Macaca mulatta: one gene and its partner. The protein of the gene in region 1 purifies or fractionates together with the protein of each later gene. This does not show direct contact. Links are inferred from orthologs where the notes say so. Each region holds a gene or a part of one and is shown in the gene's direction. Other genes may lie near its edges.

Evidence for each region.
Region 2: the proteins of PTEN (region 1) and CENPC purify together in Homo sapiens (affinity purification with western blotting; 3 studies listed by BioGRID, with this or other methods). This does not show direct contact. The link is inferred for Macaca mulatta from reciprocal best matches to the Homo sapiens genes PTEN and CENPC.

What each region holds. Positions count from the first base shown.
Region 1 is NC_133414.1:99,939,157-99,943,895, forward strand, and holds the start of PTEN (phosphatidylinositol 3,4,5-trisphosphate 3-phosphatase and dual-specificity protein phosphatase PTEN), read left to right. Parts: upstream 1-1,516; 5' UTR 1,517-1,706; coding exon 1,707-1,785; intron 1,786-4,739. UniProt on the Homo sapiens protein: Dual-specificity protein phosphatase, dephosphorylating tyrosine-, serine- and threonine-phosphorylated proteins.
Region 2 is NC_133410.1:65,937,494-65,942,438, forward strand, and holds the start of CENPC (centromere protein C), read left to right. Parts: upstream 1-1,988; 5' UTR 1,989-2,196; coding exon 2,197-2,214; intron 2,215-2,696; exon of another isoform or gene 2,697-2,806; intron 2,807-3,304; coding exon 3,305-3,351; intron 3,352-4,945. UniProt on the Homo sapiens protein: Component of the CENPA-NAC (nucleosome-associated) complex, a complex that plays a central role in assembly of kinetochore proteins, mitotic progression and chromosome segregation.

The sequences.
Region 1 (4,739 bases):
TTTTTAGGGCAAACAAGCCGAGTTACCGGGGAAGCGAGAGGTGGGGCGCTACAAGGGAGCCGGATGAGGTGATGCACGCTGGAAACACAATAGCAGGTTGCTCTTTGTGCTAAGACTGACATCCTGAGGACACAGGGTTGGGGAAAGGAGGAATCTCTAGGCAAAGGCTGCTACAGTCAAATCTCTGCGAACGACTGTGATCGACAGCGATGCAAAAGAGCGAATGCAGTCCACGCCGCGGAAATCCAGGGGCAGAGGCAGGGGGGAGGGTATTCCCCTTGCAAGGACCGTCCCTGCATTTCCCTGTATACTGACCAGCGTGGTCACCTGGTCCTTTCCACCTGTGCACAGGTAACCTGAGACTCGAGTCAGTGACACTGCTCAACGCACCCATCTCAGCTTTCATCATCAGTCCTCCACCCCCGCCCCGCAACAGCCTACCCTGCCTCCGGCTGGGTTTCTGGGCAGAGGCCGAGGCTTAGCTCGTTATCCTCGCCTCGCGCTGCTGCAAAAGCAGCCGCGGCAAGTGCAGTTGCAGGCTGGCGGCTCGGAACCGGCCCGAGCGAGCTCTAGGCAGCCACACTGGGCATGCTCAGTAGAGCCTACGGCTTGGGGGCTTTGCGCTCGCACCCGGAGCTACCGCTCCTGCCCCCGCCTACCGCCCCCTGCCCTGCCCTCCCCTCGCCCGGCACGGTCCAGTCCGCCTCTCGTTCGGCTCCCGCCTCCCCTCGGTCTCCCGAGGAGCCCGGGCTCCCGGCGCGGCGGCGGAGGGGGCGGGCAGGCCGGCGGGCGGTGATGTGGCGGGACTCTTTATGCACTGCGGCAGGATACGCGCTCGGGCGCCGGGACGCGGCTGCGCTCAGTTCTCTCCTCTCGGAAGCTGCAGCCATGATGGAAGTTTGAGAGTTGAGCCGCTGTGAGGCGAGGCCGGGCTCAGGCGAGGGAGATGAGAGACGGCGGCGGCCGCGGCCCGGAGCCCCTCTCAGCGCCTGTGAGCAGCCGCGGGGGCAGCGCCCTCGGGGAGCCGGCCGGCCTGCGGCGGCGGCAGCGGCGGCGTTTCTCGCCTCCTCTTCGTCTTTTCTAACCGTGCAGCCGCTTCCTCAGCTTCTCTTGAAGGGGAAGGTGGAAGCCGTGGGCTCGGGCGGGAGCCGGCTGAGGCGCGGCGGCGGCGGCGGCACCTCCCGCTCCTGGAGCGGGGGGGAGAAGCGGCGGCCGCGGCGGCCGCGGCGGCTGCAGCTCCAGGGAGGGAGTCTGAGTCGCCTGTCACCATTTCCAGGGCTGGGAACGCCGGAGAGTTGGTCTCTCCCCTTCTACTGCCTCCAACACGGCGGCGGCGGCGGCGGCACATCCAGGGACCCGGGCCGGTTTTAAACCTCCCCTCCGCCGCCGCCGCACCCCCCGTGGCCCGGGCTCCGGAGGCCGCCGGAGGAGGCAGCCGTTCCGAGGATTATTCGTCTTCTCCCCATTCCGCTGCCGCTGCTGCCAGGCCTCTGGCTGCTGAGGAGAAGCAGGCCCAGTCGCTGCAACCATCCAGCAGCCGCCGCAGCAGCCATTACCCGGCTGCGGTCCAGAGCCAAGCGGCGGCAGAGCGAGGGGCATCAGCTACCGCCAAGTCCAGAGCCATTTCCATCCTGCAGAAGAAGCCCCGCCACCAGCAGCTTCTGCCATCTCTCTCCTCCTTTTTCTTCAGCCACAGGCTCCCAGACATGACAGCCATCATCAAAGAGATCGTTAGCAGAAACAAAAGGAGATATCAAGAGGATGGATTCGACTTAGACTTGACCTGTATCCATTTCTGCGGCTGCTCCTCTTTGCCTTTCTGTCACTCTCTTAGAACGTGGGAGTAGACGGATGCGAAAATGTCCCTAGTTTGGGCGACTATAACATTTAACCCTGGTCGGGTTGCTAGGTCATATATTTTGTGTTTCTTTTCTTGTATTCAACCTAGGGTGTGTTCGGCTAGACGGAACTCTTGCCTGGTTGCAAGTGTCGAGGCACCGATTGCTTGCTTAGGCTGTCTATACGGTCTCTTCCTGAGGGCTATTGTCCGTTAATACAGAATACAGTATGCTGTTAGTGGATTAGAGAGCTCGGTAATCCGGTCTCCTAAATGAACAAAAAAGTAGACGCTTTGAGGTTGAGCATATTTCGATTAAATCTTGGCTTAGGCCCTAGATCAAGGGTTTAGATCAGAATAAAATGAAAATTAGTGTTGCACGTATGCATATTGCATCAGAATCTTGCAGTGATTGTTTTAGTTTCCTGGGTTGCATTGATAGATTCTTTTAAAATATGACTGATTTGCATAACTTTAGAAGCAGAATAATTTTCAGTATATATGGTGCACATTGAGTGCAAAAAGTAGTTTTGTTAATGTTTTACACTTAAGTTACAACTTTGGACTGTATTTAGAAGTTTTGTAGTTTGAAATCAATAATGCCATTATATACCTTATAAGGCGTTCTTACTAGATCTTTGTTATATTTACCTTTTTCTCTCCCTATGGGATGATGTAGGATAGGGCTTGAAATTTGCACTTCAGTAGCGTTTAATGTTCAGTGCTCTTGTCATAAACATGGAATGGATATTGAGTAGTTTTTGATCCCAGATGACAATGTGTAGGTTCAAGGGTATTGTGTGTGGCAAGTGAAGATTGCAAAGATAAAACTTCAGTTCATGCTTGAAATTTAAGTATTGTGATGCCAGAATTGCTGCTCACCGTTTTTAGATTTCAGGTTCTCTGACATCTTTTGGTATTGTTAATTTCAGTGATTTGTGTAGAATGTCAAGTGAATTTTACCAGCTAATATCCAGAAATGCTGGCAAGAGAAGTTTACTCCAGCTTTAGATTGTAGGTATGTTAGCTTTTTTCATACAGTGTATTAAATTTACTGAGTCAGCTTGTTGAATAAGACAGAAGCCCAAGAATTTTAACAGTGTATAGCTTTAGTTGTCTAAAAGTTAGGCCTTCGGGCTTCAAAAGTTAGTGGTCATCGAAAAGCATGAATCTTTGCAGTTTCAGGTACAACAGACTGGTTTTGATTAGGGATGGGGATGGGGCCCTCATTTTGCAGAATGGAAAGTATTGACAGGAATTGAGAGCTATTGGTAGGCCAGTGTATAAGGTATGTGAAAACAGAAGTTATTGGTCTGAAGTGACTGAAGCATTTAGGCTCTATCAAGGCCTAAAATTTGGTAATATGAGTTTGGTAATGCGAATTGTGGCAGTGGACAATATTTAGTTAAAATTATGTAATTGCATAAGTACTAGCAGAGTATTTTTAATAAAAATTATTTCTTAGCAAGTATCAGTTGCATTTTGTCTAAAGGTAGCGTGACACTGCAGTGTCTATATGTCCTGCTAAAAATTGTGGGGAAGATTTTTTTTTAAGACAACGTTTATATCGGGAGAGGTTTTATTCCCTTGGATTATGTTAGCTGCATATACATGTGCACAGTTAATTTTGCCCAAGTTTTTGTTTTGAAATGAATATAAAACTTACTGAAGAAGTAGCCTCCCAAAATTTAGTTTTCTGTTAAGTCAGTAATATTATTTTAAAACAGTATTTGCAAATTTTGAAGTTGGCATTAATTGAAAATGTTACTAAGGCTAAACTGGAAGATAAAAATGTTACTAAGGCTAAACCCGCTTGCCCAGAAGATAATTATGGAAAAAATTCTTTTGTGACTTCCAAAGCAGTCTACTATTAGCATGAATTACTGACAGTCATCCAAATATATAGGAACAAAAAATTAAATGTTTATGTAACTTTGAAAAAAAAGCCTCTGAAGAAAATAATTGAATGCTGTCTGGGAGACAGATTTCTTTCAGCACTTAAAGTACATACACACTACTTTTACTTTTCCCACTTTATTTAAAATTGTCAGGGTTATTAAGACCTTAAAATTATTCTACCAGGTTTTTACATGTGAGCTGTGATGTGACTGGCATTTCCTTTGATTTCAGAGTATGTGGGTCTCTACACATGAAATTTATGTGACTTAAAACTTTCTCTAAAATTGTACTTTTAGTTATGCATAGAAAGCAGTATCAAATATTGTGTCAAATGACTAATAACACTTGATTTCTAGAGTTGTGGTTTTATTGAGCCAAAAGTTGGTATGAAAAAAAGTCAGTGAGGAAAGTCAATGAAGTGCTTGCTTTTTTGATAATTGCACTCCCAATAATTTTGATATTCCAACGTACTTGGTTTGCTTGTTTTTCTGTTTATGGGGGTGGGAAGGCATTAAAATGGTCATTGAGGACTTTGTCTTTGGCATGCTGTAGTATTTATTTCGGCAGCTAACCTGTGAAAAGTTAAATTCCTTTATGAAAGTAGTGATTGGAGTATTTTTATCTGGTAAAGAAAGATTAATAATGAAGCCATTTCTCCGAGGAAAACTGAGGACAATAATTCAGTTTTAAAATATCGCAAAATTAAATTATTCTAAATATTTGTTAGTAGGGTTATATATTAATATTAGTCTGAAATATAGTGCTGAATTTGAGACTATAGAAAAATAGTGTATTTGGGGTATGTGGAAACTTTAGGCTTCTGTTGTATTTTTATTGTTTGGTAGATTTGCCTCTTTTCAAATAAATCTTCACAGGGAATACTTTTAACTACTAGAGAGTACAGTGACTATTGAAGTTACCTAAATTACCTCAAGGTAAGTGATTACTGAAATTAATCATGAGGGTTTTAAAAAATATTCTATTCACAATATTTATTTTACAT
Region 2 (4,945 bases), on another chromosome or scaffold:
AATTTCTGGATACTTTATGTTCCCATATACACATCTAATTATGTATATGTTAATACTTCCATATACTGATATGTAAGTACACACACACACACACACCCCCTTAACTAGGTAAGTAGTTGTGAAAGAAACTTCAAGATTGCATTAGCAGCTCATAAGAAGTAATCTTGATGTATTTTGGGGGGAGATTTATAAAGACAAACCTGGGTTTTTAAATAAATATTACTCCCCCCATTAATTAGCAATCCTATTTTAGGATACTAAAACCATGGTGGGGCTACTAAGCACTACAACAATATGGAAGTAAAACGTTTGTCTGGAAACTGTGGCGTCTCCATAACTGTTTTTATAGGAGTGCTGCTCCATTTTCTTTAGAACAGTTCATCCTCAGCACCCTGTGTGGCCTGCATTCTACAGCAGCACAAGCCATTGCATTTCAAATTTCTCAAAACCCTCTGTGGGACTTAGTTTCCAGTGGAAGCAGGAGGATATAATTTTACATATGGGACTTTACATCTATAAGTGTGCTTGCTAAAATTTCTTACCCAGAGGCAAAGAGTGTAGTGATTAAGAGCTCAGTTGTGGAGTCAGAATTCTTGGGATAATATCCCATCCTACCATTTAGTGGTGATGTGATCTTGGGCAAGACACTTACCTCTCTGTGTTTCAGTGCCCTTGTTTATAAAACAGGAATATTAATTGTTCTCTTCAATGCATGCGAAGCATTTACAGAACTGGGCATAGAGTATGCACTCAATAAATGTTAGTGTTTATTACTATCTATTCCAAATGTGATAGTACCAAATTATATATCATGTGGACTGATTGGCAAAACTGCCAAACATAGTAAAAGTGTCTCCATAATGATTCCAATAGCTTTATTATTGAATTCTTACTCTGTTCCAAACATTGTGTGTAGATCTTAACAGGAATTATTCAATTACAACATCTCAACCACTTAATATTATTCTCATTTTGCAGACAAGAGAATTAAGGAACAGATAACTTAGTTGCCCATAATGGCAGAATTAATGGAATGGAGTGCAATCTAGGCCTAATTTCTGTCAGAGTTCATAGTTCCTCTTTCTTTCCTATCAAAAAAAATAAATAAAATAAAAAATTGGCTTTCATAGGTGACAGCATTTATTAAAGCACTACATGTTTTAAAAATCTATTAGCTCAACTCCTGATTAATGTATTTATTCAATGAGTAAACTACTTTCTGATTAGAATTTTCTTGTAATTTTAAATTAAATAATAAAATAAGACACAGCTTCATAGAATCATACACTGGTCAGGTGAGAAGTCTTCAGAGCGTCTAAGTTAGACTTCCATTCTATCACTATGGAAACACCCAGAATGGTGCCGAAATTTTTCTCCCCATAACACAGCTAGTCATTGGCTGGCAGGTTTCAGGATTCTGTATAGAATTCTTTTCAGTGCATCATACTTAAATGATAGCTATTTACGTGGGTCATTTGTTGGCAATGCATCATAAAAACATCACCCACATACTTGAAAAAGAATACAAGCCATCATCACCATTATTACACATAATTATTCAATTATTTTCAGAGATGATGGTTAGATGGGTTGGGCGTGGCTGACGAATTTGCATTAGAAAAATCTCTTCAAAAAGATTCTGTTAAAAAAAAAGTCTTCAATTTCTACCTCTCATCCTTCCAAGTATTACTTATTATTCTTTAATAGAACTGTTGAGAAGTTTTACATTGGGCACAAGGAGCGGTTCCCAGGACCGCGCCTTCCAAATAAAGGCCCACTCTCGCGCCTGTCCCCGACGCGGCGCTGTGGAAGGGAGGTGGGAAGAGCAGAGCAGCTAGAGATAGGGCGGGCGGAGCTGCGGGCGGGAGGGCCATTGGCTTAGAGCAAGAAGGGGCGAGCTCACTAACCGCTTGCTTCCTATTGGACGGCGCAGCCCGTTTTGCGCATGTGCGGCTGGGTTCAAACCCATGCAGGCGCCGAGCGTTCTTGTTTTTTGAGGGCGGAGCTGATGGCGGGGAAGTGTTGTTAGCGCGCGCCTTCCGGATCCCAGCGCTCCCGGCCGTCCTCTTCGACTTAGGGGTGTTGCTTGGCCGCCGCCTGGTAGTCTGGCGGTTCATTTCTTGCTCGGCCTCCTGGAGTTGTGCTCCGTGTGGGCTTCCACCTCAGACCCCTGCGCTGGCTCAGCGGGGCCGGAACATGGCTGCGTCGGGTCTGGTAAGTGCGGGCCCTCGCGCTCCAGGCAAGCGGTTGAGCGGCTGGCTGGGGACACGGGCGCCCGAGGAGGGGGAGAAGGAAAGGCTAGGCTGGGGCTGTGGTCCATGAGGGATTTCAGTGGGAAAGCCGGAGGAATTTTTGAAATCAAGTGTGATCGTGTATCGATAATCGGAGTTAATTTACTGTACTTTTATTATTTCTTAAGTTTTCGTGTCTTCGTCTGTGCCTGCGTCTTACTCTTGAGAGGTGCTTGTGATTTCTGTTGGGGTGTTTTTTCGAGACGGAGTCTTGCTCTATCCCCCAGGCTGGAGTGCAGTGGCGCGATCTTGGCGTCTGCTTTTTAGTCTAGCTCCAGTTCCTAGTCCTCCAAATACTTTTCTCCCCATGGTAGAAGTATTGAAACGCCTTAAAAATGTGCCTTTGCGTCACACTTGCTAGTTGGGAGAAACAGATTATGTAACAAGTATGTCCCGAAATAGTTTGACGTTTTCAGTTCTTCTGTCAAAATGGTGGCCTTATATGCAGTTCTTGAGGCTGATTTATGGAGCATCAGTTATCGACAGTGTTCTTAAAGACAGCTATTAGTTAAAAGGTACAAGCTGTAAATGACTAATGGGGGCGGCAACTCATATTTTGTTTACATATTTCTGGACTTCTTTGGTGTTCACTATTCTATATTTCATACTTTGGTTATGGTTGCTATATCAAACCCGTATCATTTCTTTTCTAATTTATCTCCTCTTCTTCAGCTTCGATGATCTCCCATTGTGTGACGTTATACATATAAACATAAAGAGTTGTATGAAAGAATAATATAATCTAGACTTTTTACTATGAGCACATATATTGTTTACATTATATATAATCAGAAAAAAGCAATAAAGCCATTCTCACTGTGGGGAGAGAAGCGGAATAAAGCTTACCAGATGCCGGCCGTTCAATTTTTAAATGCCTATCATAACCTTAGAATTGTTTTGAGCCCTTAGGAGATATTTGGTGTATAGCATGCCCATGCTGGATGAAGTTACTTTGAAAATAAATTTTATTCTGCTATATCTTAAACCAAATGGATGATTTACTTTTCTTTCAGGATCATCTCAAAAATGGCTACAGAAGAAGATTTTGTCGACCTTCCAGGTGATTTATATACTTAAGCTTTTAAGATTATTTTTATTCTCATCGTTAATAGATTTTTAAATGAAGAAAGGAAAAACTATCACCTGTGACTAAAATAATGATTTCTATGCCCACTGATTAAGGGTAGTCATCTTATACTAACGGAATGTTAATGCAAGCAGTGCAATGACTTTGTGGCTGTGAAAAAAGAAATTCACCTGATAAAATAGTGGAAACAGGAAGAGGGAATCTCAGTTCTGACTAAGTGACTGCCATGGGAAAAGCATTTTGTAGAATGAATCAAATGGTAAAATTAGAAGGATGTAGCTTATTCAGTGGGGCAAAAACAAAAATAATACATGCTATCATGCATTTATTTGTTGGATGCTTATTTGGGTTGTTTTGGTCCTTCTTTTAGTTGTAAAACCTGTAAAAAGTAAATTTTCTAGTTAAATATTTACTAGTAATAGGATGAAAAGCATGTTCTTAAAAGTGAAGATGTTATTTGAATAACATCTTGTTTATTGAGCTGTGATTTTAGTAGGTCCGATAGGGCACAGAAGTATGTTATTTTGCTTCCAAGAAGCTTTCATTTCTATTGGGAAGATGTATATGTACATTTGTGAAATACTTTAATGGACAAAAATTAGTACTTATAATACTGAAGTAATGACTTGTGTGTCAGAGAGAGTACGCCTATATATAATTAGGCATTAACTTGCAGTATAGACAGCCATGTGAGAAATTAGGGAATTCTGTGTTGTTGATATTAAGAAAAGCTTTAAAGTTGTAGTGTAACTTTGGTGGACCTTGAATAGGTTAGGTATTTAAAGACTAAGATAAAGTTCATTCCAGACATAGAAAGTAACTTAGCAAAGGAACCAAAGTAGGAACACATACATTTGTCGGTAGCAGAAACCTGATTTAAGAAGGTTGAATATGTTGGGTAGAAGTGGAAAACAAGACCATATGAGTTGGATTGAGCCATAAAATGGATATGTTAGGCTTAGGTATCTATTATAGGTTTGAATAAGCTGTCCTAAATCTTCTGTGGAATAAGGGCTATCTGATGTAAACACACACACACATTTAAAAAAGCAAAGATGTTTGATGTTTACAGAGTAGCTTAAGGAAGGGGTTATAGTAATCTAGACTTGATGGAGGTGCTTTTATGCTAAGGTAATAATGACAAGGGGGAAGAAAAGATGAATTTGATAAATTTTGAAAAAGCTGTTGCCTAGACTAATGTGACCTGTGTTCTAATAGTGACTCTGCATTATCACCTTGGAAAATCTGATGTTTCTGGATCTCCTCCTTGAAATAGGTAATAGTAGGAGTGTATTTATAGCTGTAGGTGGTATTTTGGGGTGGTGTCAAGGCCAGAATTTGTAACAGTCAGCTATATATATATTCTGGTAGAAAACCGGCCACTAATACTAATTAGGTTTACAAACTGAGGTAGGCCATTTGACCATTTTGGATTGCAGTTAGCCTGTCTGCAAAATGAGGGCATAGGATTCAGCCTAGTGGTTTTTAACTAGATTTGCACCTCAGAATTATCTCCGTCACCCTAGGAAATCTGATTAAATTGGTCTCTAGGAAGTGACCAATTATG